Linked DNA regions of Ovis aries. The protein of the gene in region 7 interacts with the protein of the main gene of each other region in a pairwise test. Links are inferred from orthologs where the notes say so. Each region holds a gene or a part of one and is shown on either strand. Other genes may lie near its edges. The genes, in order: synaptojanin-2-binding protein, TXLNB, PRC1, CNNM3, FAM110A, UBXN11 and USHBP1.

Region 1 (2,903 bases), on a different chromosome or scaffold from region 7:
GAGAGGTCAAGGCTGATGTGGGGCCAAGACTAGGGGTGAGATGAGGTGGAAGACACGGGACAGCAGAGACCACACAGTAGGAAGAGGACGTACGAGATAGAAAAAGCAGGCGTGAGAGGAGCCCAGGGCAAAGGCAGCAGCGGTCAGTCCCTGGGCTGCCGTGGGTGCTGACAGTTTTCCGGGCTGTCCCAGTCTATGTGAAAACCTACAGGAGACCTCGCTCGTGAATCTGACTCTTGCAGTGCGAAGAAGCTAAGTGACACGGGACCCTACCCACAGCTTCTGCTTGTCACCTGTGAGGTGTCTTCCTCCTCCTTGGGGCCATGGCTTATTTTTTTTTTTTTTTTAAGATTCTTAATTAGTTGCTTTAGTTTTCGTTTTTTTAAATGACTCAGATTGCTATCCTCTTTTAAGCCTCACTCTATTACTCTTGCTACATACTGAATTCTTCTATTGAAGACTATCACTTAATCCTTATAGCAGAAACCTAGAAACCGGAGTTGCTTTCCACTTCTTTAATTCTCCATAAGGCATCACTATTATAATATCATACATGAATATGTACGTATATATATGTGTGTGTGCGTGTGTGTATATATATATATATGTTTGTTTTAAAAAGTAGAAATGTTCTTCTCAATCATCTTTGTTTGATACAAAGTAGGTGCCCAAGTAGGTATTAATAGTTAGAAATTAAATAAAAGGCCACAAAAACTTCCCAAGGAAGATCATTAAAGAGAAAAATCCTTTTTTCCTCTTATTACAGCTGGCCTTTGATGCATGCCAGGTAAGAAAAAAAGGAATACTGCAGGGTGATGGGAAGACTGGACCTTTCCCATTTTTTGGGTTGTAGCTGAACTTCTATTGGCGGTTCTAGTAAAATATATAACTCTTCGTTTGTTCTAGGCAAGTCCTTCTTTCGGGTTTCCTTCAGACACTGCCTTTACTCTCCCATGAGAAAATGAGGATTCAGAGATTTCAAATAGCAAGATTCTGGTTGGGTAGCAGTCTCTTGAAATCATGAGCTGGCTATGTAGAGGGAAAAGTTATGGAAGACTGGCAGGAGAGGGTGAGAGAAAAAGAGAAATGTATCTTCTTCTTTGGGAGCACAGGAAGAAAGCAAGTTTTTCAAAGTCGTTGCCGGTATCTCATGAAGGCCCAGGCTGCTACCATGGTGAGGGCAAACACTGGCACCAGCACCATAGTTATGGGAATACCACTTGGCTCCCCTTCGCCTTGAGGTCCTATGGGCCCATTCTGCACCTGTAACCTGTGCTGCACTCTCAGGGACACAGCATAGCCTGCATTACGGAAGGGGTCCACAGCATCCTGGTGCAGCAGGTTCTTTAGGTCTTGGCCGTTGACCGAGAGGATCTTATCACCCTCCTGGAGCCGCCCATCCAGGGCTGCAGCCCCGTTCTCTTTGATGCGGCTGACGAAGATGCCACTGTTGTCGGAGACATACTGCTGATCTGTCCCACCGACGATGTTGAAGCCCAGCCCTGACGGTCCTCTGGTGAGATTGATCTCTTCCTCGGTAATCAAGTAATCCACTCTTCCGTTCATATTTTAATCTCTGGCTTCCCGACCGGGGTCAGCGAGGATCGGTGCAGGTTGAAGGTGAGAAGCACTACCGGCAGCAGCCACAACACCGCACTTTCGGCCATGGCTTATTCATCTCTCTAACCAGAGCATCTGGCCCTGTGCAGGGAAACCTGTCGGTGCCTATTAATGTTTGAATAAATAGCTGCATTTATCACAACAGTCCTTGGCCCAGCCTTCGTCCAGAGGTTGTGGAATGAGCAGCAGTGCAGATTTTAGAGCCGGTACCCATATCAGCCATGTGCAAGGAGGTGAGCTGTGCCAATGAGATTCTTTCTGGGCGACTGAAGTCTAAAATGAGCAATGAAAAGGCATTACCAGGAGGAGCTGAGGTTTCAAGGGTGTGTGGGGAAATGGAAAAGCTGTGTGGACCCTCAATGTAAGGTTATGAAGGACCTTACAGGACGAGAAAGGAGACCCCAAAATGGTGAATGTGAAACGGTTCTGTGGCCTGTAAAACGAACACAGGTGTCCATGATCAATAAAGCTGACTGTAAGTCTCAGGCGTCGTTGCCAATCTACTTGTGTGACTATAAGAGGGAGAAGAACCTTTGTGTTCTTCTACAAGTTAATCACTAACGGGATGTTGCCTCTAAGCTTAAATTACCCATAATGGACCATCTCTGGGACACTTGTCACCCAGGTAATGAACACTAAGCTAAAATACCTTCGTTTAGCTCACGAGGAAGCATCTTCCTGACCAGGCCCATCTGTGAAAGACTGAAGGCAGGAGGAAATCCCTCCTGGAGTCTGGCCAGAACCAGGGCCTTACTCCCTCCTCTTTCAGTGTTAAAAGAAGCCTGGATTCTAACTCAAGGAAGATGGTTCATAAGGACACAAGTCTGCCATCTTCTCAGGCTGCCATTCCTTACCCCAACAACTTGTCACTTGATTTATTGACCTATTATATGGCAAAGCAGTATGAGCAGCCAGTCTTGCTGCTCATGGCCAGCCAGCTCTGGTTGGGGGATTTTGGGGGTAAGGCCCTAGCAGCTGCCCGGACCACTCGTCCTGAGGATCTTCCCCTTAAAATTCCCTGAAGCTTCTCTGGCTGTCCCAGCTCTTAGCGGGTGGAGCAAGGAATCAACATCTCATGCAGTAGGTAAGTCACTCCATGTAACAACTGGAGATCTTATTTCTTCTCCATTTAGGGCTTCTTTCCTTTAGAATAAGACAATTTGTATTTGAGTGGAGCGTGTGTGTGTGCTCAGTCGTGTCTGAGCGATGCCATGGACTGTAGAGCCCACTTTGTAGAGCCCACTATAGGCTCCTCTTGTCCATGGAATTTTTCAGGCAAGAAT
Region 2 (3,500 bases), on a different chromosome or scaffold from region 7:
CAATGGTTACATATTTAAATTAGCCTAAAAATATAGTTTAACTCATAATGTAGCTGAAATAGTACAATGTTTAGAGAATATATCGACAGTCTTCAGAGGAACAGCTTGAAAGTATCAGCAGCTTATATGCATGTAATTAGTGTGCACCCATGTGGGCACTCTGATCACAAACACTGGTCCTGATAAACACATTCAATTGAACTTTGGTAATTTATACAAAATGACAGAATTAATTGTGACATTTTTTTCTTTCTCTAAATTTTTTTGATTATTTGGTAAAGGAAAGTGTGAAGTCACTCAGTTGTGTCTGACTCTTTGCGACCCCATGGACTGTAGCCAGGCTTCTCAGTCCATGGGATTTTCCAGGCAAGAATACTGGAGTGGGTTGCCTTTTCCTTCTCCAGGAGATCTTCCCAATCCAGGGATTGAAACTGAGTCTTCCGCATTCTAGGCAGATGCTTTACCGTCTGAGCCACCAGGGAAGTAAGTATGTGGTTAATACGCTTCCCAGGTGCATCTGTGCAGTAAAGAATCAGGTAAAGAATCCTGCTAGTACAGGAGACCCAGGTTCAATGCCTGGGTCGGAAAGATCCCCTAGAGTAGGACACGGCAACCCGCTCCAGTATTCTTGCCTGGAAAATGCCATGGACAGAGGAGTCTGGCAGGGCTACAGTCCATGGGGTTGCAGAGTTGGACATGACTGAGCTACTGAACACAGCAGCACATGAGGTTAATACAGATTTTGAAATAACTCGTGGAAGACAGTCAAAAATTGGTCATCTTTAACTTTTCCCCTGCTTTCTTCATACCTATCCCCCATTATAACACATACAAATTCCTACGTAGAAGTAGTTTTAGGGTGATAAAGCCAAAGATCTTTCCTGGTTAGAAACACTTGAAATCATTCACCTTTGCAATGTGATTATGGTGGCTCAGAGGTTAAAGCGTCTGCCTGCAATGCAGGAGACCTGGATTCGATCCCTAGGTTGGGAAGATCCCCTGGAGAAGGAAATGGCAACCCACTCCAGTATTCTTGCCTGGAGTATCCCATGGACAGAGGAGCCTGGTGGGCTACAGTCCATGGGGTCACAAAGAGTTAGACACGACTGAGCGACTTAACTTTCAACAATGGAAAGTTTAACAATGACTAATGCAAAAGTTTATTTCTGAGATGCCTTGGATGGAGAACAGAAAATACCTCTATAACACAGAACAACTTTATTCTCTTTCCCAAAGTTCCAAAACACTAGAGTGATTCCAACCTTGCACTTTAGAACTTGGTATTATCTGAGTTAATCTTTATGCTGAGTAGGTAAAGTAGCTGTTTGTGTCTTTTAGCCCTTCTTGAAAGCATTACCAGCAGTGCTTTTAAGCCCCATAGTGAGGTCCTATGCCAGCACAGACATACTTTGGGGTTTGCACATAACCTATTCACTGAAGTCTGAACCCAGTTCTGACTCCAGTGCCCATGATCTTTCACTCCGCCACACCAGCTTCCAAAAATGAGCAAGATGTGACCACTATCTCAATAGATTCTCCCTCCAGCTTGGGATACAGGTATATAAACAGATGATTGCTGCAGAAAATTTAATGGAGAACTACAGAAGATGATGCTAACTCTACCTGGGCCTGTCAGGGAATGTATCACATAGGAGGTAGTGATTGTAGTGAGTATTTCAGTGAAATTTCACCAAGGAAGACAGGCAGAGGACACTCATATGGGTAGTAACATGCCCTCACTCATAGCTAAAAAAATTAACTCTCTCACCTTTCTTGTATAGACATTTAGGTGTTTCCAACCCCCCTACTCCATGCTCTCCTGACAATTTCCTGTGCCTGTTCTAGCACTTATCCTATATAGCAGTTAGTGTATGTGTCTACTTTCTCTCTAGACTTAACCAAAGTCCTTAACCAAAGATCTTTTTTTATCTTTGTGTACCTCATAAAGACTAGGCATTAGTAAATATTTGCTGAACCAGTGAACTAATGAAAGTGAAAGTATTTTCTGCAATTTTCAACATTCTATAATTAATATGGAGAAGGCAGTGGCAGCCCACTCCAGTGCTCTTGCCTGGAAAATCCCATGGGCGGAGGAGCCTGGTAGGCTGCAGTCCATGGGGTTGCAAAGAGTTGGACACGACTGAGCGACTTCACTTTCACTTTTCACTTCATGCATTGGAGAAGGCAATGGCAACCCACTCCAGCATTCTTGCCTGGAGAATCCCAGGGACGGGGGAGCCTGGTGGGCTGCCGTCTCTGGGGTCGCACAGAGTCAGACATGACTGAAGTGACTCAGCAGTAGCATAATCAATATATTTTTGAAGTTTTATTAAAATAAAAAATATTTTATATGTGTAGTAATGGAAATACTCAAGTGATCCAGTGACAATCATTTTATATACAAAACCATCCCTGTATTTAGACTTTGTTTAAATCTAGATTCTACTAGCTTTGCTTTGAACAATTTCCTTTTCATTCATTCACTCATTCATTCATCCTTATAACGGATATTCAGGAAATATTCATTGAGCACCTAGCACATGTCAACCACTGTTCTAGATGCTAGACATCCAATGATGTCCAAATACACACATTGCCCCTGCTCTTGAGATAGAAGACCTAGTGGGGACGAGATGTATTAATCAAATAACCACAAAAATAAATGTATACTCTCAAATGTAAATGTCAGGAAGAAAAGATATATAGTACAACTGAAATGGAAAACAAGACTTCAGGGTGAGACTAAGAAAATGCCATTTGAGTTGTGAGCTAAGTGATGAGTTAAGTTCTGAGAGGGCCGAACTGGGAAGTGGGGAGGGATTTCTAGGTAGAGAAAATAGAATGGACATGGGCCCTGTCGGGGAGTGGAGCATGGCCTGTTGAAAGAACTGAAAGAGAAGATGAGAATGACCAACTACTAGACGGTGGTGATGATAGTAATGGTGTAATCAGGGCAGCGTGTTCAGAAAAGAGGCTTTGGGGGGTAACTTGATGAGAGAAAGCTGGTTGGGGTTAGCTATTAAGGCCTGAAAGACAATGTTAAGAAGTCTGGTCTTTGTTCTATGAGCAGTGGGAAACCACAAGGGACAGAGAATAGATGGGTAACATACTGAAAAGTTCATTTTAGTTCTGTTGAGGGGGAGGGGGCTGGGGACAAGTATAGTAAGAGAAGATGTAGGGCGATCCCGAAGGAAGCTATTGTGCTAAAATCCAAGTTTGAGGTATGGCTTTTAGCAAAGGTTGGAAGTGCCCCATTTTAGGAATAATTCAAAGAAAAACCATACATTAGAATGTAACTACTTGCCTAATCCTTTTAGAATTTTCTTCTCCAGTTTTTGCTCTTTGTTGCTGACAGGCTCTTTGGCTGTGGATGGCTCTCCAGTGGCTGCGGGTTCTCTCTCCGCCTCTTCAGGGGCCTCCTCGCCGTCTCCATCCTCATTGTCAGGTGGGTCTGTGTTCTCAGGCTGCTCCTTGACCATGGTGGTACCCTCCTTCCCTGC
Region 3 (3,500 bases), on a different chromosome or scaffold from region 7:
ATTTTCTTTCACAGAAAGAATGGAATCATATCATCTATTCCTCTTTTAACTAAGCTCAGAGTTAAAAAATTTTTTATGTCCTACAAATTGATAGGAATAGGAAATTTGTTTTTGATTAAAACATTGCAACACTTAGGTGTTTCACCTCTCAACAGGGAAACTTATTTATATAAGTGAAAAAATAGCTTTGCTGGAACCAAGTAACTAGGCAACATGTTCCACCCATTTCTCATGTCCAGTATCAGCCCTACAAGGAAACTTTCCACCTGGAGCTCCAAATCAAAGTTCTTCCCTCAATCTCAGACCCAAACAAGATCCCCTGACACCCTGCCACATACATGAAAAGGCTCGACATTTAACTCGCTGCACAGAGTGTTCAGCTCTTTCTGACAGACGGCTATGCTTTTGATGAGTCTTTCCTTCAGGCTTTCCTCTTCAGCAATCATCATATCCAGGAGGTCCTATGAGAGAGAAAACAGTCCTGTAAAAGTCCTGGGTTCTCCCCCATTAGCGTCAAACAACAACAAATAACACCAAAAACCTCACAGTTTCAAACTTTTAAGAAAGGACTTAAAAAAAAAACAGGACTTCCCTGGCGGTCCAGTGGTTAAGACTCCACACTCCTGGTGCAGAGGACCCAGGCTCAATCCTTGGTCTGGGAACTAGGATCCCCATGGTTTGGCCAAAACAAACATGCAAACAAAACTGGGAGGAGCCTGTGACATCCTAGAGTCACTTCTATATGCTATTTTAGATGAGACAACAACATCCTTACCCCTGTCCCACTGCAAAGAGGCCAGTGCTGCTAAACTCACCTTGATGTGCTTCTTTACAACCTCAGTTCTTTGTAACCGCTGGTCCTCTGGAATGCCAATCAATTCCCATATTTCCCGAAGGTGATTCAGGGCTTTCTGGAGACATACTATAGACTCCTCTGCCAGCACCTCACTAAAAAGCAAAAGAGAAGCCAGCTACATGAGCCACTGCCTCCAGTCTAAAAACTGTATTTACAGAAACTAAAACTAGTTTCTCAGTGGGCTCAAGGCTAAAAAAATTGGAAACAAGCATTCAACTTAGTTCATCTTTAACTACTCCCCTATCCTTCCCCCCACAAACACCACAACCCTGGCAAAGCAAAATCCAGTATCGTGTTACAGTGTAGAAATTCAATCTTACACTGTAAATTCAATCTTTTGAATAATACTCAGAATCTGGACTTCAATCAATGATTCTATCTATGGCAGTATATTACGGAAAAACAGACAAAAATGTCAGCTCCTATAAAACAGCTGGAAGTTTATTGCAAATTTGTTATTCATCTTTTTCCCTTCCAGTTTTATTAAGCTATAATTAATATATAGCACTGTATAAGTTTAAGGTATACAGCACAATGACTTGATTTACATACATCATGAAGTGTTATCACAATAAGTTTAGTAAACATCATTTCATATAGGTAAAATATTAAATTTTAAAATTATTTTTCTTATGACTGGAACTCAGTATTACTCTTTAACAACTTTCATAAATAACATACAGTGGTGCCAATTATATCGATCATGTTGTACATTACATCCCTATTACTTAATACTGATTTATCTGGACTTCTGTGGTGATTCGTTGGTTAAAACTCTGATTGCCAATACAGGGGACACAGGTTTGGTCCCTGCCACAGGCCATGGGCAACTGAGTCTGTGCACCACAACACCTGAGCCACGCACCCTAGAGCCCACGCTTTGCAACAGAGAAGCCACTGCAGTGAGAAGCCTGCGTGCTGCGACCAGAGAGTGGCCCCGCTCACAGCAACTAGAGGAAGCCCACGTAGCAGCAAAGACCCAACAAAGCCAAAAATACATTGATTAAATACAAATTTTTTAAAACCCTGACTTATAACCTTCTGACTGCCCTCATCCAATTCTTCCTTCCCCCTACCCCCAGACTCTGGTAAGCTAAAACTAATCTCTTTTTCTCTGAATTTGCTTGTTTCTGAAATATAATTGACCTATAACACTATGTTAATTCCTGCTAGAGAACACAGTGAATATTAGTGAACATATTTCTATACATTTCAAACTGATCACCAGAATAAGTCTAGCTACAATAGGTCACCATACAAGATATTACCTAGTTCTTGGCTACATTCTGCATACTATCCATTTCATACCTGTAACGTTTTTTTAATTTGGCTGCACTGAGTCTTTGTTGCTGTGGGATCTTCATTGTTGCCTGCAGGATCTTTTCGTTGTGGCATATGGGATCTCAGTTCCCTGACCAGAAATCAAACCCATATCCCCTGAATTGCAAGGCAGATTCTTAACCACTGGATGGCCAGGGAAGGCTCTGACAGTTCTATATTTAATTTTTTGAGGGATCACCAACTATTTTCCATACTGGCTACTCCAATTTACATCCCCACCAACAGTGCACAAGGGTTCCCTTTTCCCAGTATCCTCGCCAATTCATGTTATCTGTTATATTTAATAAAAGCCATTCTGACAGTTGTGAGGTGATTTATCTCATTGTGGTTCTGATCTGCATTTCCCTTTTGATTAGTGATGTTAAGCATCTTTTCACGTGCCCGTTGATCATCTGTATGTCTTCCTTGGAAAAATGTCTATTCAGATCCTCTACCCATTTTCAGTAAGGGTGTTTGTTTTCTTAATGTTGAGTTGTATACATTCTTTGTATATTTTGGATATTAACCCCTGATCAGTGTTGATGAGTATATAGAAAAGCCAGAACTTTTACACACTACTGGTTGGAGTGAATTAGTACACCATCTTGAGACTGTTGGCAGTATCTGTTAAAGTTAAGCTCTGGATGTGCTTTGCTACCAGTCAGCCAGGAGGCCTGGAACAAGTCACTGAAGTTGTTCTGTGCAAGAAATGAGGCTAGAGGCTCTCACTGGCCCCCTCTCTGTTACAGCATATTCAGGGGTTCTGAATCACCAGCCTACATCGCCACGAACATCAGTTTCTCCATAGTTTTAATATACTTATTTCTAAGACATTTTTCTAGCCAAGAAATTCCAATGTAAAGGTTTCCTGTCCTAGTTGCAGAAAAACTTTTGCACAGATACTAGTTGCCTATACCAGATGGCAATATCAATACACACATAATGAAGAGTGTTTAAAAGAATTTACTGGGACTTCCTTGGTGGTCCAGTGGTTAATCTGCCTGCCAACGCAGGGGACATGGGTTCGATTCCTGCTCTGGGAAGATTCCACATGCCTGGGGCAACTAAGCCGGGTGCGCACCACCACTGAGCCCATGCTCTAGAGCCTGTGCTCTGCAACAAAAGACACTGCAATGCGAAGTCCAGGCACCGTGTACAACGCAACTAGAGAAACAGCCACAAAGACCCAGCACAGCCAAAAATTAATTAATAAAAAAAATGAAAAGAAAACCTACAGAATGGGGAGAAAATATTTGCAAATGATGTGACAGACAAGGGCTTAATCTCCAAAATACACAAACAGCTCATACAACAATAAAAAAAA
Region 4 (4,094 bases), on a different chromosome or scaffold from region 7:
CTGAGTCTATTATTATTTTTTCAAAAGAGGCATGCCAGTCCGGTGGAAAGGGTCAAAGGTCATAATTGCTTCTGCTGGCAGCTTATTCTGGAGTTTTTCACACAATACTTTTGTTGGTCACTCACCACAGGTTTACTCATTTTTGCACATTACCTTCCACACAAGTATATTTCACTTAATTGTGACCACAGTGCCTAAGCTTTTTAATAGTATTTTCATGACAACATATGTGTTTCTATACAGCCCTTGCAAAGACCATTTTAAATGACACGTATATGGATGCTCTTATCAGTCTACTTATGTTAGGAAAGTTGAAAATACATAAAAATGCAGAAAATACAAAAAAACCATTTTGTCGGGACACTTATAGAGAAGTCTTGTTAGCTTGCGTGTTTCCTTCCAACCAGGTAAAGTTCACATATAACAGGTTGAGGAACATTCCATACTGTCAAGGACCATACAGTCTTCTAAAACAACAATCCTGGGAGGATCCTCTTGAATAGTTCCTGTTGGTCGTTAGGAATTACTTTCCCAAGGATGCTCTCCTAGAAGTGAAGTGACCAGATACAGTAATTTCTGACAGAGATGCCAACTCCTAGTGTTGCTGGGATGGCGACAGGATATTAGGCTGGTCGCTTTGGAACCCCTCATCCGTGCCCGAGTAGTGTTCACTTTTCTCTAGTAAAGTGTATCAATAACGAAGTAGCTGCGAGGATCCAATGAGGCGGTGATTTCGTGTATTTACGTCCTTCGTTCTCTCTGGCAGGGGTGCAAGTTCATCTAAGGAGGGACTGAGTGTGTGTCACGTCCCAGACCCATAGCAGAGTCGCGCGCGATCAAGGAATACTCTCAATAAGCTTTAGCTTCCGACGCCCGGTCGTCGGTTCTTTTAGCCCTCTTCGAGGTTTGGGTCGTCGGTTTCTGAGGAAACGGACCGTCTCCCTTCGTTAAATTATCTATCTGCAATTTCAGGAGCTCCACTGCTCTCGGCGGCCCAAGTGCCGAGCCAGGGACTTCCCAGAGTACGGGCCTGGCCTCCCTGCGCTGGGGACGGCCGAAGGGAACTAGACCCCCGCGGAGAGCGGGCCAGCTGGCCGCCCAGCGTCCTCCGGGTGCCGCGGCCCAGGCCCACAGGGCCCAGAGCCCCACGCCCCCGGCCCGCCCCGGGATCGCGCCGCGCTTGTTTACTCCCCGGCGCAGCCTAGTCCGACCCTGGGGCCCGCCCCCGCCCGCCGCCTATTGGCTGAAGAGGCTCCAGGGCTGGCGACGATTGGCCCGGCGGAGGCGGAGAGGTAGGCTGCACGGGAGGCCGAGAGGGGGCAGCAGGCGATGGCGGCGGCGGCGGCGGGTCGGCTAGGCTGGTTGCTCGCCGCGCTCTGCCTGGGCAACGCCGCTGGAGAAGCGGCGCCGGGCCCGCGAGTGCTGGGCGTCTGTCTAGAGGAGGACGGAGCGGCGGGCGCGGGGTGGGCGCACGAAGGGGAGGTGCGGGCCGCGCCGGAGGCCACCTTCCGCTTGCGCCTCTTCGGCTCGGGCTTCTCCAACAGCTCCTGGTCCTGGGTGGCTCCTGAGGGGGCGGGTTGCCCCGAGGGCGGGCCGGCCGTCGCGCCCGACGAAGCGGCGGCTCCCACGGGCGAGTGGCGTGCGTTGCTGCGCCTGCGCGCCGAGGCCGCGCGCCCGCACTCTGTGCGGCTGGCGGTGCGCGGGGAGCCGGGGGGTTCGGCGGCCGAAGAGGCGGCAGCCCTCACGGGCGAGTGGCGCGCACTGCTGCGCCTGCGCGCCGAGGCCGCGCGCCCGCACTCGGCGCTGCTGGCTGTGCGTGTGGAGCCGGGCGGCTCGGCGGCCGAGGAGGAGGCGCCGCCCTGGGCTCTGGGCCTGGGGGCGGCGGGGCTGTTGGCGCTGGCGGCCCTGGCGCGGGGCCTACAGCTGAGCGCACTGGCGCTGTCGCCCGCCGAGGTGCAGGTGCTGCGCGAGAGCGGCTCGGAGGCGGAGCGTGCGGCGGCGCGGCGCCTGGAGCCCGCACGGCGCTGGGCGGGCTGCGCCCTGGGCGCGCTGCTGCTGCTGGCCAGCCTGGCGCAGGCGGCGCTGGCCGTTCTGCTGTACCGCGCGGCCGGCCAGCGCGCCGTGCCTGCCGTGCTAGGCAGCGCGGGGCTCGTGTTCCTGGTGGGCGAGGTGGTGCCGGCCGCCGTGAGCGGGCGCTGGACGTTGGCGCTGGCGCCGCGCGCGCTGATCCTCAGCCGCTTGGCGGTGCTGCTCACCCTGCCCGTAGCGCTGCCGGTGGGCCAGCTGCTGGAGCTGGCGGCGCGGCCAGGGAGGCTGCGCGAGCGCGTGCTGGAGCTGGCGCGCGGCGGCGGCGACCCCTACAGCGATCTCAGCAAGGGCGTGCTGCCCTGCCGGACAGTGGAGGACGTGCTCACGCCCCTCGAGGACTGCTTCATGCTAGATGCCAGCACCGTGCTGGACTTCGGCGTCCTGGCCAGCATCATGCAGAGCGGCCACACGCGCATCCCCGTTTACGAGGACGAGCGCTCCAACATCGTGGACATGCTCTATCTCAAGGACTTAGCTTTCGTGGACCCCGAAGACTGCACGCCGCTCAGCACCATCACCCGCTTCTACAATCACCCACTTCACTTCGTCTTCAACGACACCAAGCTGGACGCCGTCCTGGAGGAGTTCAAGCGAGGTAACTGTTGGGGAATCGCGGAGGGGACGCGAATGTCAGCTCTCTCTCCCCAGAGAAAGAGTGGGGTTTAGGGAAGCCTTGGGGAAAGGTCCCAACCCGGTGGACGACAGGGAGGCCTCTGAGCGCCCTTTTAATGAAGTTGATGGTTTTTTAGCTCTGAATGAACTTGCAAAATATCATTTAAAGCCTTTGGTTCCGAAAATGACAATACTATAGACAACAAAAAGCTTTTCCGGGCAGGCCCCCAGTTTGGGGAGATACGTGTGCTTGATTCTAACTCTCCAGCTTTTTACCGGCTCATTTTTGTGGGCTTGGGCTTTGTGGCAGGTTCGGACTCTTGGATAGAAACTGAAAGAACGTAGAGTATACGGTCTAGATACCTGGACGCTGTTGTTTGCACATATGTAATACCAAACTAGGTGAACCTGTGATGTTTTTCCAAGGCGTCCTTGTTAAGGTCAGTGATGGGCTGTTGCCTTCCTGGTTACAGAAAAGGGTATGATTGATCATTACTTCCTGCAATGTGAAAGAAACTTCCACTTTGATTTCACCAGAAGCAACTTGATGGAGGCCAGTCAGTCTCCCCTTCCTTTAAAAACAATAAAACAAAACCCAAGTAAGGGCTCAAGTCCTCTTAACTCCACATTTTTGTCCTCTCCTTTGACCCGGGTTCAGGTGAAAACTGAGACCCTCCCATTGTGAAGGTTCGGGTTCTCCGGCAGTCTCCCTCTTGGTGATTGGGCTTGAGGTCCTCCCCAGAGCTTGGTCATGCTTCTCACACCGGAACTTCTGTAAGGACACTTCTGGACTCTGAATGAGCTTGACCGTAAAGACTGCATAATTGAGGCCGAGAAGTGAGCAAGGCCCCCTCATAATGACTTCCTGATAGCTGTGAAGTCTCCAGGTCCCAGGATCCCATAGGAGGTTCCCTGTGAGCCCCTGGACTGTCAGGGCAGGGAGGCAAAGCTCTGCCGTAGTGACCATTAGTACTGCTGCATGCCAGCCACTAGTGGGCACCCTCCTGCACCATCTCCTTAGTTTTAAAGAATTAGGCAGTTACTGTTGCTACTGTTTCTCAGGATTGGGTGGGAGACTTTGATGGGCAGCTCTGGCTGCTGCCCTGGAGAATCTCTGGGTGCTTCTGCTTGTTTCCTCAGAATGTAGCCATGCAGCCCTGCTCTGCAGGAGAGGAGCCCGGGATCCGGGCAGGCAGAGCCTCCTAGGAGCAAGTGCTCCATCTCCGAGTAATATGGTATTTCTGAGGCAGTGGTGGTTCTCGTGGCTGTGTGGCCAGCCGGGCTGGCCCTGGAGTCAGCAGGGGAGGGTACCATCCTGCCCCTGCCATCTTTCAGCTTGAGGCCAGGCTTGACCACCAGGGCGGTGGCTGCAGGCAGAGCATAGCACCCTGTTT
Region 5 (4,192 bases), on a different chromosome or scaffold from region 7:
TATGACATTGTGCACTTCCACCTCACCCCTCCCTTCCACCTGCTTCTCCTTTTCCTTAGCAGAAGTCCAGCCCAGACTTCGGTGGAGACAGAGAGGCCCTCTCCTGCCCCAGAGGGAGCCAGGAAGGCTCCAGGCAGCAGAAGACTCCAGGACAGCTGCCAGGGCCAGAGACACCCAGCTGGGCATCCTCCAGGCCCACGCCAGGCCCCACACTATTTCTGGAGTTTTCCCAGATGTTCGTGCCCTGGCCTGCCTGCAGTCAGCCTTGCCCAGGGCAACCTTGCACAAACCTCAGGAAGAGAAAGGTAAACAGGCCACAGAAGCGGTGTGGGTGCAGCTGCCTAAGGCAGCAATCTCCCGTTTGGCCCACCAACTGCACACCTCCACCAACTCAGTCCTCTGGGCCTCAGGTCTGCACCTGAGCTTGCCAAATGAGGACAAAGGGACTCGCAGTGCAGACTAAGAGAGATACTGCGCGCAAAGCCTTAGGGAAGGGCCTGGCACACAGGATGCGGAAGGTGGAGTTGGGACAGACCCACAACCAAGCCCACTTCCTGTCCCGGACTGCCCTCTGCCTGGGCCGAAGCGCACCATCATGGCTTCTTTTCTCGGCGCAGAGATGTCAAGAACCTTGTCCAAAGTCACAAGAAAGTTAATGACAGATCATAGACAGGGCAGTGGTCTCATGATTAGATAAACAATCTATAATACACACATATTTTTTCAACCAGGTGATACATGTGCATGGCTTAAGATTCATAAGCTGTAAAGGAAATTAAAAAAAGAAAAACACCTCCCTCCACTCCTATCCCCAGCCACCCAGTTCCCCTCCCTGCAAGAATCATTATGATCAGATGGTTATATGTCCTTCCAGGGAGATTTCAGGCACATACAAGCAACAATGGACATATATTCTATTTTTTTTACACATAGCAACATGTTCTGTGCATTGTTTTCATTTATTCTTTCATTGAATAATATATGTTCTTAATATGTTATTAGCATGTTATTAATTATAATGTTATTAACAAAATAATATATGTTGTACTACATAAAGAGCCCATCAGTCCCTACCAATGGCCACTGAGCGTGTGTCTAGTCTCTATTAAAAACCACACTGTGGGACTTCCCTGGTGGGCCAGTGGTTAAGAATCTGCCTGCCAATGCAGGGGACATGGCTTCTACCCCTGGTAGAAGATCCCACGTGCCATGGAGCAACTAGGCCACAACAAAAGAAGCCTCCAAGTTCTAGAGCCCATGATCCACAGCAAGAAAAGCCACCACAATGATAAGCCTGCAACTAGAGAAAGCCCAGGCAGCAACGAACACCCAGCCCAGCCAAAAATAAACAAATAAATAAAAGAGTTCTCAGGCAGAGCCTTAAAAAACCCAAAAACCCCACACTGTGGGCTCACTGCACCTATATCATTCTGCCCAGAAGTGGGACAGCTAGGTCAGGGGGTGCATGTGTAATTGTGACAGAGATGAGGGACTGTGATCCAGGGAGTTGATCTCCCACCAGCAGAACACACAAAAATGATCAATAAATGTTAGCATTAGTCATTTTGATTCCTAGGGCTTTGGGCACCCCTCAGTTTCACACTGGAGGCGATTACCTCATTTACCTCACCCTAACCCTTCCCTGCAACACATTCCAGTCCGGGAAGATAATAAACTCGCTAATAAGTGAAATTATAGGACATTGGATGGGGTAAATGCTACTGAGAAAAACAAAATAGACAAGGCAGAGCATATGAAGTGAGTAAATATTTGTTGAAAGAATGAAGACTTGTTTTCTTTCTGAATTTCCAGAGCTCTGCTCCCTTTAAAGCCAGGAGACTGGTTTGGAGGAGAGAGGATAAATAATTCCCCTTGAAGAGATTCTAGACTCCCAGATGCTACAATTCTGAGTGTCTAGGATTCTAAGATGGAAGCCAGACAGATTGGGAACCAGCCCCAGAGTTGCCAAGTCTGACCATGTGGTTTTGGGCAAAGGGGCTTAACTTTTTAGAACCTCAGTTTGCCCACCTACGAAAGGAAACCCATAGCAACCAGCAGGTGGGGAGGGGGTTCCCCAGGAGGTAAGGCCTGGTGTAGGTCAGATGCTCTACCAGGAGCGGTCCTGGGCCCAGGACCAAGTCCAGTGTCTCTGGTGACTAGCGTCTTTGGCTGAGGGCTGTGCCTACCCTTTTGCCCAACCCGCAGTAGATTCCCAAGAGTCCTACAGCAATTCCAGGGCCAAAGCATCTGCTCCCCACCTGGCACCTAGCTCAGAAATGTCAGTCCTGCCTGAGCCACCCGTATCTTCTCTCTGAGAGGGAGAGCTCTGTAATTCAGAGCCCTGCAAGCTGAAGGATCTCAAGTGAGCCCCAAGTCCACCCCTGGCTTTCTGGAGAAATGAAGACAGATGGTGGGGAGAAGACCCCAGGCCGACGCTGGGGAGAGGCAGCCTGGAGCGGATGCAGCCAGGGCTCTCATGCTCCTGTTGATCAGAGGCTAAGAAAGCGACCACCAGTTACCTGTCAGGGTCTCTCAAGGCAAATCTAGAACTATTATGCTAGAGACTGCGAGATGGAGCAGAAAGATCTGAATCAGATTCTCTGCCAGACTTCGTCTTTCTGAGCCTCAGCGTTCTCATCTGTGAAATGGGGTACCCTCGTAGGACTCGGAGAGAACACGCACCGCAGGGGTGAATACAGCGCCCCCTTACACCCGGGTTCGCGCCCCGGACCACCCGTGCCCTCACAAGGAGCCTCGCCTAGGCGAGTCCCGCTCCTCCAGTGTGGGTCTTGAGGAGGCTGACAGCTCGGACCCAGTCAGGCGGGGAATGGCCGCACCCAACACGGCTCGGGAGGCCCAAGCCCCACGTGAGGACCCGCGGGGGCCTCTTCGGAGCTGTGCTCCGCACCCGAGATAAGCCGGAGAACCTGACTGTCCCAAGGTCCCAGACAGAGCGAAGGTCTGGGGGCACAGAGGGGAAGCGAAAACCCCGGGGCACCGGGGGAAGGGGAAATGAGCGCGTCGCTTCACCCCCCTCCCCGACACCAGAATGGTTTGCCCCGGACATCCTGATTGGTTTCTCGCTTCCGTTCGAACTCCGCGCCGCCCGCATTGCCAGGCAACGGCTTAGCTTCGGCCTGGCGTGGGAGCGCCCTGCCTTCTCAGTCCCTCCCCGCCCTTCAGCTTCCCGGTGGTCTCAGGTTCTTTGAGCAGCCCCTTTAGCTCAAGCGGCTAATTCTTTCTCTTGTTCACCCGGGACTTAGCTGATGGACGGAGGACCCTGGTGGGCCCAAGGGGTCGCTAAGAGTCGGACACGACTGAGCGACTTCACTTTCACTTTTCACTTTCATGCATTGGAGAAGGAAATGGCAACCCACTCCAGCGTTCTTGCCTGGAGAATCCCAGGGACGGGGGAGCCTGATGGGCCGCCGTCTCTGGGGTCGCACAGAGTCGGACACGACTGAAGCGACTTAGCAGCAGCAGCAGCAGTCCTGACTTCAGCTGACAGGCTATGTGAACCAGTGCAAGCCAGTTTTCCTGTCTGTTCCTCTAACTGCTCAATGCTGAGCAAGTTAGTGTGAAGATGGGCATGCCCAGCAGTCCCGAAATTTACTAAGGATGTGAGCGAAGATTAATATGCCCTGCGTTCTTTATCATGGCAAAATAATGAAAATAACTTAAGTGCTCAGTGAAAGGAAATTGGTTATATAAATCCATCCTGCGGAAGAACTGAATTTATTGAGGTTTTTATATATACCAGAAGCTTTGCATGACAAAACTCTCATCACTGCTCATGGCATAACCCTCTGATAAGTACCTTTAAATATCCTCACTTTTTGCTGAGGAATATTATACAGTCATTAAAAATGATATGATTAAAATATATTTAGCACTAAGAAAGATTGAATTTTTCAAAAGTATGTTTCAAAGCACTATGTACAACACAAATATGCATTAAATACATAATGGTAATATCACATGTACTATATTTACGTAATGGACTTCCCAGGTGGCCCTAGTGGTAAAAAAATCTGCCTGCCAATGCAGGAGACACAGGTTTGATCCCTGGGTCAGGAAGGTCTCCTGGAGAAGGAGAAAGAATACTCTAGTATTCTTGCCTGGAAAATTCCATGGGCAGAGGAGCCTGGAGGGCTATAGTTCATGGTACTGCAAAGAGTCAGACAGGACTGAG
Region 6 (4,034 bases), on a different chromosome or scaffold from region 7:
TCATGTCCGACTCTTTGCGGCCACATGAATCGCAGCACACCAGGCCTCCCTGTCCATCACCAACTCCCGGAGTTCACTCAGACTCATGTCCATCAAGTCAGTGATGCCATCCAGCCATCTCATCCTCTGTCATCCCCTTCTCCTCCTGCCCCCAATCCCTCCCACCATCAGAGTCTTTTCCAATGAGTCAACTCTTCGCATGAGGTGGCCATAGTACTGGAGCTTCAGCTTTAGCATCATTCCTTCCAGAGAAATCCCAGGGCTGATCTCCTTCAGAATGGACTGGTTGGATCTCCTTGCAGTCCAAGGGACTCTCAAGAGTCTTCTCCAACAACACAGTTCAAAAGCATCAATTCTTTGGCACTCAGCTTTCTTCACAGTCCAACTCTCACATCCATACATGACCACAGGAAAAACCATAGCCTTGACTAGACGGAGTCCCATCACTGGTCCCATCACTTCATGGCAAATAGATGGGAAAACAATGGAAACAGTGAGAGACTTTATTTTGTGGGGCTCCAAAATCACTGCAGATGGTGACTGCAGCCATGAAATTAAAAGACACTTGCTCCTTGGAAGAAAAGCTATGACCAACCTAGATAGTATATTCAAAAGCAGAGACATTACTTTGCCAACTAAGGTCTGTCTAGTCAAGGCTATGGTTTTTCCAGTGGTCATGTATGGATGTGAGAGTTGGAGTGTGAAAAGAGCTGAGCGCCAAAGAATTGATGCTTTTGAACTGTGGTGTTGGAGAAGACTCTTGAGAGTCCCTTGGACAACCAGTCCATTCTAAAGGAGATCAGTCCAGGGTGTTCTTTGGAAGGAATAACGCTAAAGCTGAAACTCCAGTACTTTGGCCACTTCATGGGAAGAGTTGACTCATTGGAAAAGGCTCTGATGCTGAGAGGCATTAGGGGTAGGAGGAGAAGGGGACGACAGAGGATGAGATGGCTGGATGGCATCACCGACTCGATGGACCTGAGTTTGAGTGAACTCCAGGAGTTGGCGATGGACAAGGAGCCCTGGCATGCTGCAATTCATGGGGTTACAAAGAGTCGGACACGACTGAGCGACTGAACTGAACTGAACTAAAGGTTCAACAGTTATCTTAGGGCCCAGCAATTCCATGCCTAGGTGTACACCCAAGAGAAATGAAAACTCACATCCACAGAAACCTGTGTATCTGTTCATAAGTAGCATTACTTGTAAATAGCCCAAAACTGGAAACAACCCAAATGTTCATCAACCAATAAGTGGATAAACAAATATAGTATATCCTTCCTTCTCTGGTGGCTCAGAGGTTAAAGCGTCTGCCTGCAATGAGGGAGACCTGGGTTCGATCCCTGGGTCCGGAATGTCCCCTGGAGAAGGAAATGGCACCCCACTCCAGTATTCTTGCCTGGAGAATCCCGTGGACAGAGGAGCTTGATGGGCTACAGTCCACGGGGTCGCAAATAGTCGGACACGACTGAGCGACTTCACTTACAATGAAATATTATTTGGCAAAAAAAAAGAAAGAAATGCAATACACACCACAGTGTCAATGGACCTTGAAAACATGCTAAGGTAAAGAAATCAGTCACAAAAAACCACCAACTGTTAGGATTCAGTCCAGAATGGGTAAATCTATAGAGACAAGATAGATTAATGGTTGCCTAAGGCTGGAGGTGTTAGGAAGAGCTGGGGAGAGGGAGATGCTAAAGGTACAGGGTTTCCTTGGGGCTGGTGAAAATGTTCTCAAATTTGATTGTAGTTACGACTGCACAACTCTGTGAATATACTAAAAACAACTGAAGTTTACATTTTAAAGAGGTGAAGTATCTAGTATGTGTATTGTATCTCAATAAAGCTATTATAGGGGGAAAAAAAAGGACCTGGTCTCCAAACCAAACCAAATATCTCTCGAAATAAGCTCCTCCCGCTTCCCCTTTCTGAAGAGGACCTCATTATCCAAACACAAAAAATTTCCCTCCTTTTTCTCCTCTAATCCCTGCAGTTCCGGAATCCTGCAGGGTAAACCCTGCACGTTTCTCACACATAGCTCCTCCTCCCGTGGCCCCCTGCTGGCCATCCTAGTGGGACTCTCACTGCCCTTCTTTGGGGCTGTTACAATGGCCCCAAACCGACTTCCCTGCTTCCAATCTCACTCCAGGCCAATCCAACAGTCTCCAGATCAATTTTCCCATGTGATCATAGGAGACCCCTGAGGACAAAGGCTATTCCTTTCCTTCAGCCTGGGGACTTCTTGAGCGAAGAAGGGCTGTGTCTCCTCCCTCAGATTGGGAACCCTGGGGGCAAAGCCACGTCTATTCCCTTCACTTTGCGTTTTTTCTTGGGGCGGGAGACTGTGTCTTCCTCCTCAAGCCAGAGGCGGCTAAAGGTTAGACTGCCTGCTTCTTCAGACTCAAGCTTTGAGAGTCAAATTGGTCTTGCAACAGGTCCCAGTGCTCGCCAGCGCCGACACGGGCCAGCAGGCTGCACACCTTCATTCCCTAAATCTCAGCTGGAAGCGCTCACCACCGACTTCCACCACCAGACCCTCCCTGGAAGCTGCGTCGCCAACCCCCCGCCTCCGCCCGTAGCCGTGGTAGGCAGCGGCCTGAATCTGCTCCCAGGCGCGGAGAGTCTACTGGAGGGGCCGGGATGTGGGGCTCGCATATCCTCGAGGCTCTCGCGGTGAGGGCCCCAGCCTATGTGAGAGGGACTCCACGAGGAGAAAGGTCTGAGGCCTTTCTGTAACTCACCACGCAAGCCGCAGAACCACCCGCGGCGCCGCCATCTTGTTGTCACACGGTTTCCCAGGCAACCAGGACCCTTGTGCTTCTCATTGGCTAATCCGTGAGGAGTCCCTGAGCAACCAGGAGGCAGCGGAGGCGGGTACAGCTGTCTCTACTCGAATTCTATTGGCCCACGAAGTCTAAACTCATCGCGGGGAAGACTGCAAATCCCAAAACCGGCCGCTCTGAGCGGACTCTGGGTTTAGGGCAATTTGAGAGTCCTTTCCTATTACTCCAAGGCACAGAAAGCGGAGAACTGGGATTAGGTTCACGAAGCTGCTGGAAGCCTCTAGACCTGAATGTGCAGTCCTGACCATGCCACTGTTTTATTAAATTGATTTTGGGAGAAATTACATGTATCCTGGTGAGCTTGTTTTTCCATCTGATCACTACAGTACTAAAGGGAAGTTCTTTTGAGCATGAATTGAAATGATACAAGTACTTAATAAATGTTTCTTAAATCTGCATTTCTCTGCTAATTTCTTGGCGCCCCGAAGAGACGCTCTGATTCTATTTCCTTTATGTAAAAATTCGAGTAAGACTGCTGCCATTGGGTAAGATACTTAGAGTGACTTTGGGTGAGACCCTTCCCCTTCCTGAGCCTCACATGAAAAACAACCTGTTGGATTAGAGCAACTAGAGGTAGTTTTGTTAAGAGCATGGTCTTTGGCACCAGGAGTCCCAGGCTGTGTGTGTGTCCTTGAGCAAGTTACCTTAATTTCTTTTGTTAAATGGGAATAACATCAAACCAGTCAATCCTAGAGGAAATCAACTCTGAATATTCATTGGAAAAGCTCACGGTGAAGTTCCAATAGTTTGGCCACCTGATGTGAAAACTAGACTTGTGGGAAAAGACCCTGATGCTGGGAAAGATTGAGGGCAACAGAGGATGAGATGGTTGGATGGCATCACTGACTCACTGGACATGAGTTTGAGCAAACTCCAGGAGACAGTGAAGGACAGGAAAGCCTGGTGTGCTGCAGTCCATGGGGTCCCAAAGAATCAGATATGACAGTGACTGAACAAACACCACAAACCCACCCCACAGAGCTGCCATGAGAATTAAATGAGACAATACGTACTGAATAACTATCACAATACCCATACAGAGTAAGTTTTCAAAACACTTCCTGCTTTTAACTTTTGTTATCATTATCTCACAGTCATCCAGCTGTGATGATCTGGGTGTCTTATGATTTCCGGCACCCACTTCCTTATACCTTGGCTCAACTACCAAAGCCCTTTATCTGCATGTCT
Region 7 (3,268 bases):
TCCACGCTGCTGCCTTCGGGACTACAGGAGACAGGAGAGGCCTGTGTGAACTCTGCTCAGCGTGGCTACACTAACTTCATGCAATCCTGGTGCGCTTTGTCATCTTCCATCTTACTGACCGTGATGGTTCCTTCCAAGGCCATCTGTGGTAGGCACGGTCAAACTAACATGGTGGGCACCATAACGTAAACCCAAACGGGCAACATCAGCCCGCCAATGATCATTCATCAGTGATGAATGAACACCACCACGCCAATGGGCACAGTCACTCACACCATCACAGGGAAGCCATCACACCAACTCAATGAGCACCATTGCTCAACCTGCCAACCCTGTTATGCAGCATCATGACAACCCCTATGGGTACCAGCATCATGCCAACCCCATTAAGCACCATCATACCACCTGATCAGTGGGCACCACCAGCCATCCTCATGCCACCCTGGTGGGTCCTATCCCACCCCCAATGGCTGTAACCACCATGTCAACTTTGCTGAGTAGAAAACAGCCAACTCCGGCAGGCCTAATGCCAACCTCAGGAGCCACGCCAGCCCCCAATATAGGGCCAGTTCTGGGAGCCCCATTCTGCAACCAGAGCCCCACTCACTGGCCCACCCAGTCCCCAGGGCTCCCAAGGGCACCTTGGACATGGATCCTGCAGTGTCACTCCATCCATGGCAGCCTTCTCTTGCACTAGGAGCCTCTGAGCTTCCTTCTCAGCTGCCTCCAAGTCATCCACGAAGGCTCCTTTTCCAGCTCCTGAGTCTGCCTCCCGGAGAGCGAGTAAGGCTCCATACGCCTCCTCACAGTGTTCACTGTGGGACAGCAGTTCTGAGCACCCCAGCATACCCATCCTGTTGCGTAGGTGACACTCCCACTTGCCCCTGGATCTGTCACTCCTCCTCCTAACCCCAACCCTGGGAGTTTGTAAATTCCTTTAGCACCCTGGGACGAAAACTGCCCTAAGTTAATTTCCACGGCAAGGGCAAATACTTTTCTGAGAGGGCTCCGTCTCTCTCTGGGAAGTAGGACTATCCTTTGAGGATATCCATTTCCTTCCCAGGCAGTAGAAAGCATGTGAATCGTGGCTGGGGTGCACTGACCTATACTGCAAGGCTAGACGCAGCGCAGTGGCCTCGGCCTCCCGCTGGCCCAGCCGCATGCTGAGGCTCTCACACCGGCCCTTGTACTCCTGGAGCACAGCTGACAGCAAGCGGTTGAAGCATTTGAGTTTCTCAATGTTCCTGCCTCCGGAGGTGGGGGAAGAGGGAAAAGTGAGTGACTTTGAAGGGCAGTTAGGACACCATTGATTTCCCCACCCCATCCCCACCTTCCCCACCCCACCCCCACTCCAGCTCCAGACTCCTGGCTTTATATCCCAGCTGGGCGGCACCAGTGCCCTTATGAGCCCAGCATTTGTGACTCTTACCCTCGGAGTCGCTCCATCTGGGCTTCCATGATGTGCATCTCAGGAGCAAGGGGCTGGGTTGGGAGAGACCCAAGCATCTGGGTGCTGGAATCACTCTGCAGGCGCCGGAGCAGGGGGTGAGCCCGGGAGAAGGGATCCTGTCGAAAAGAGGTGACTTGATTCACCCAGAATTTTCACTGAGAGCCCAGCATTAGGATTTAGGCCTTTTCCAATCCCCGAAACTATTGGATCACATGACCAGGATTTGAGTCTCATGGCCCCAGACACTAAGGATCTGAAACAGACCGTGGTTTTTAGTTTCACATACTCACCTGTGAGCCCCAGGTCTCTCCATCAGCCCCAGAGCTGCTGGAACCACTACCTGAGCCACCTGCTTGGTCACAGGAAGGAGGTGGAAAGGGCTCCAGCCTCAGCAGGGAATCCTGCAGCTCCTGGACCTGTGGGGAAATGGGGAATGTAAGGCTGGGGTGGCTCCAACCACCTGCCATTCTTCCCTAAGACCTGTTCTTGGAGCAGTGGCAAGAGCACTGGCTGGAAGGTAGGACCCCCCAGATTCTCATCCTGCCAAATAGCTTCTTGTACAACCTTGGGCAAGTCATTCAGCCATGACTTGTTGGTCAGCCATTCAGTCATGCAGTCCCTGAATCAAGACTTCTCTTTCCAGATGTCCAACAGGTTCATGAAAAGATGCTCATCATCACTAATCTTTGCATGCGTGCCTGCTCAGTCACTTCAGTCGTGTCTGACTCTTTGCAACCCTACAGACTGTAGCCTGCCAGGCTCCTCTGGCATGAGAGTCCATGGGATTCTCCAGGCAAAAAAAAAAAAAAAACAGAAAAAATACTGGAGTGGGTTGCCATGCTCTCTTCCAGGGGATCTTCCCGACCCAGAGATCGAGCCCATGTCTCCTGTGGCTCCTGCACTGCAGGCGGATTCTTGACTGCTGAGCCACTGGGGGAACCTCACTAATCCTTAGGAAAATGCAGTCAAAACCACAATGAGATACCACCTCACATCGGTTAGAATGGCAAGCATCAAAAAGCCAAGAAAGGGACTTCGCTGGCAGCCTAGTGCTTAGGACTCCGCCCTTCCACTGCAGGAGGCAGGGGTGCGATCACTGGTCAGGGGAACTAAGATCTTGCATGCCTTGCTGAATGGCGAGGCCAAAAGAAACAAAGAATGCAAAAGATAAGTGTAGGCGAAGATGTTGAGGAAAGGGAACCTTCGCGCACCGTTGTTGAGAATGCAAATGGGTACAATCATTACGGAAAAAAGTATGGCAGTTCCTCAAAGAAGTCAAAATAGAACGACTATATGATACAGCAATTCCATTTCTGGGTATTTCTCTGAAGGAAACCAAAATGCTGACTTGAAAAGACATCGGCACCCGCACGTTCACTGCAGCACTATTTACAAGAGCCAAACCACAGAAGCAACCTAAGTGTCCACGGATGGATGAATGGATAAGATGTGGTAAGTATATTTATAGAATGAAAAATTATTCATCTGTAAAAAAAGGAATCTTGCCATTTGGGACAATATAGAAGGACCTCAGGGCCAGGAGCCGCAGGAGGTGTGGGTTCAATCCCTGGGTTGGGAAGATCCCTTGGAGGAGGAAATGGCAACCCACTCCAGTATTCTTGCTTGGAGAATCCCATGGACAGAGGAACCTAATGGGCTACAGTCCATGGGGTCACAAAGAGTTGGACACAACTGAAATGACTTAGCACGCACACAGAAGGACCTTAAAGGCACTATGCTAAGTGAAATAAGTCAGCCAGATAAAGACAAATAGTACATGATCTCACTTATATGTGGAGTCTAAAATAAAACCAGGGA

What was found.
Region 1: the proteins of USHBP1 (region 7) and synaptojanin-2-binding protein interact in binary tests that used the Homo sapiens proteins (3 or more experiments, as listed by UniProt). The two-hybrid records come from large-scale screens. The link is inferred for Ovis aries from reciprocal best matches to the Homo sapiens genes USHBP1 and SYNJ2BP.
Region 2: the proteins of USHBP1 (region 7) and TXLNB interact in binary tests that used the Homo sapiens proteins (3 or more experiments, as listed by UniProt). The two-hybrid records come from large-scale screens. The link is inferred for Ovis aries from reciprocal best matches to the Homo sapiens genes USHBP1 and TXLNB.
Region 3: the proteins of USHBP1 (region 7) and PRC1 interact in a two-hybrid assay, tested with the Homo sapiens proteins (2 studies listed by BioGRID and IntAct). The link is inferred for Ovis aries from reciprocal best matches to the Homo sapiens genes USHBP1 and PRC1.
Region 4: the proteins of USHBP1 (region 7) and CNNM3 interact in binary tests that used the Homo sapiens proteins (3 or more experiments, as listed by UniProt). The two-hybrid records come from large-scale screens. The link is inferred for Ovis aries from reciprocal best matches to the Homo sapiens genes USHBP1 and CNNM3.
Region 5: the proteins of USHBP1 (region 7) and FAM110A interact in binary tests that used the Homo sapiens proteins (3 or more experiments, as listed by UniProt). The two-hybrid records come from large-scale screens. The link is inferred for Ovis aries from reciprocal best matches to the Homo sapiens genes USHBP1 and FAM110A.
Region 6: the proteins of USHBP1 (region 7) and UBXN11 interact in binary tests that used the Homo sapiens proteins (3 or more experiments, as listed by UniProt). The two-hybrid records come from large-scale screens. The link is inferred for Ovis aries from reciprocal best matches to the Homo sapiens genes USHBP1 and UBXN11.

What each region holds. Positions count from the first base shown.
Region 1 is NC_056064.1:26,357,139-26,360,041, forward strand, and holds synaptojanin-2-binding protein, read right to left. Parts: upstream 1,662-2,903; 5' UTR 1,567-1,661; coding exon 1,129-1,566; 3' UTR 501-1,128; downstream 1-500. UniProt on the Homo sapiens protein: Regulates endocytosis of activin type 2 receptor kinases through the Ral/RALBP1-dependent pathway and may be involved in suppression of activin-induced signal transduction.
Region 2 is NC_056061.1:64,243,629-64,247,128, forward strand, and holds part of TXLNB (beta-taxilin), read right to left. Parts: coding exon 3,305-3,500; intron 1-3,304. UniProt on the Homo sapiens protein: Promotes motor nerve regeneration. May be involved in intracellular vesicle traffic.
Region 3 is NC_056071.1:20,993,648-20,997,147, reverse strand, and holds part of PRC1 (protein regulator of cytokinesis 1), read right to left. Parts: intron 949-3,500; coding exon 816-948; intron 462-815; coding exon 339-461; intron 1-338. UniProt on the Homo sapiens protein: Key regulator of cytokinesis that cross-links antiparrallel microtubules at an average distance of 35 nM. Essential for controlling the spatiotemporal formation of the midzone and successful cytokinesis.
Region 4 is NC_056056.1:103,718,564-103,722,657, reverse strand, and holds the start of CNNM3 (metal transporter CNNM3), read left to right. Parts: upstream 1-1,294; 5' UTR 1,295-1,329; coding exon 1,330-2,683; intron 2,684-4,094. UniProt on the Homo sapiens protein: Probable metal transporter.
Region 5 is NC_056066.1:59,933,525-59,937,716, forward strand, and holds the start of FAM110A (protein FAM110A), read right to left. Parts: upstream 2,801-4,192; 5' UTR 1-2,800.
Region 6 is NC_056055.1:240,540,999-240,545,032, reverse strand, and holds the start of UBXN11 (UBX domain-containing protein 11), read right to left. Parts: upstream 2,801-4,034; 5' UTR 2,745-2,800; intron 1-2,744. UniProt on the Homo sapiens protein: May be involved in the reorganization of actin cytoskeleton mediated by RND1, RND2 and RND3. Promotes RHOA activation mediated by GNA12 and GNA13.
Region 7 is NC_056058.1:5,623,409-5,626,676, reverse strand, and holds part of USHBP1 (harmonin-binding protein USHBP1), read right to left. Parts: intron 1,867-3,268; coding exon 1,741-1,866; intron 1,567-1,740; coding exon 1,430-1,566; intron 1,245-1,429; coding exon 1,104-1,244; intron 816-1,103; coding exon 642-815; intron 22-641; coding exon 1-21.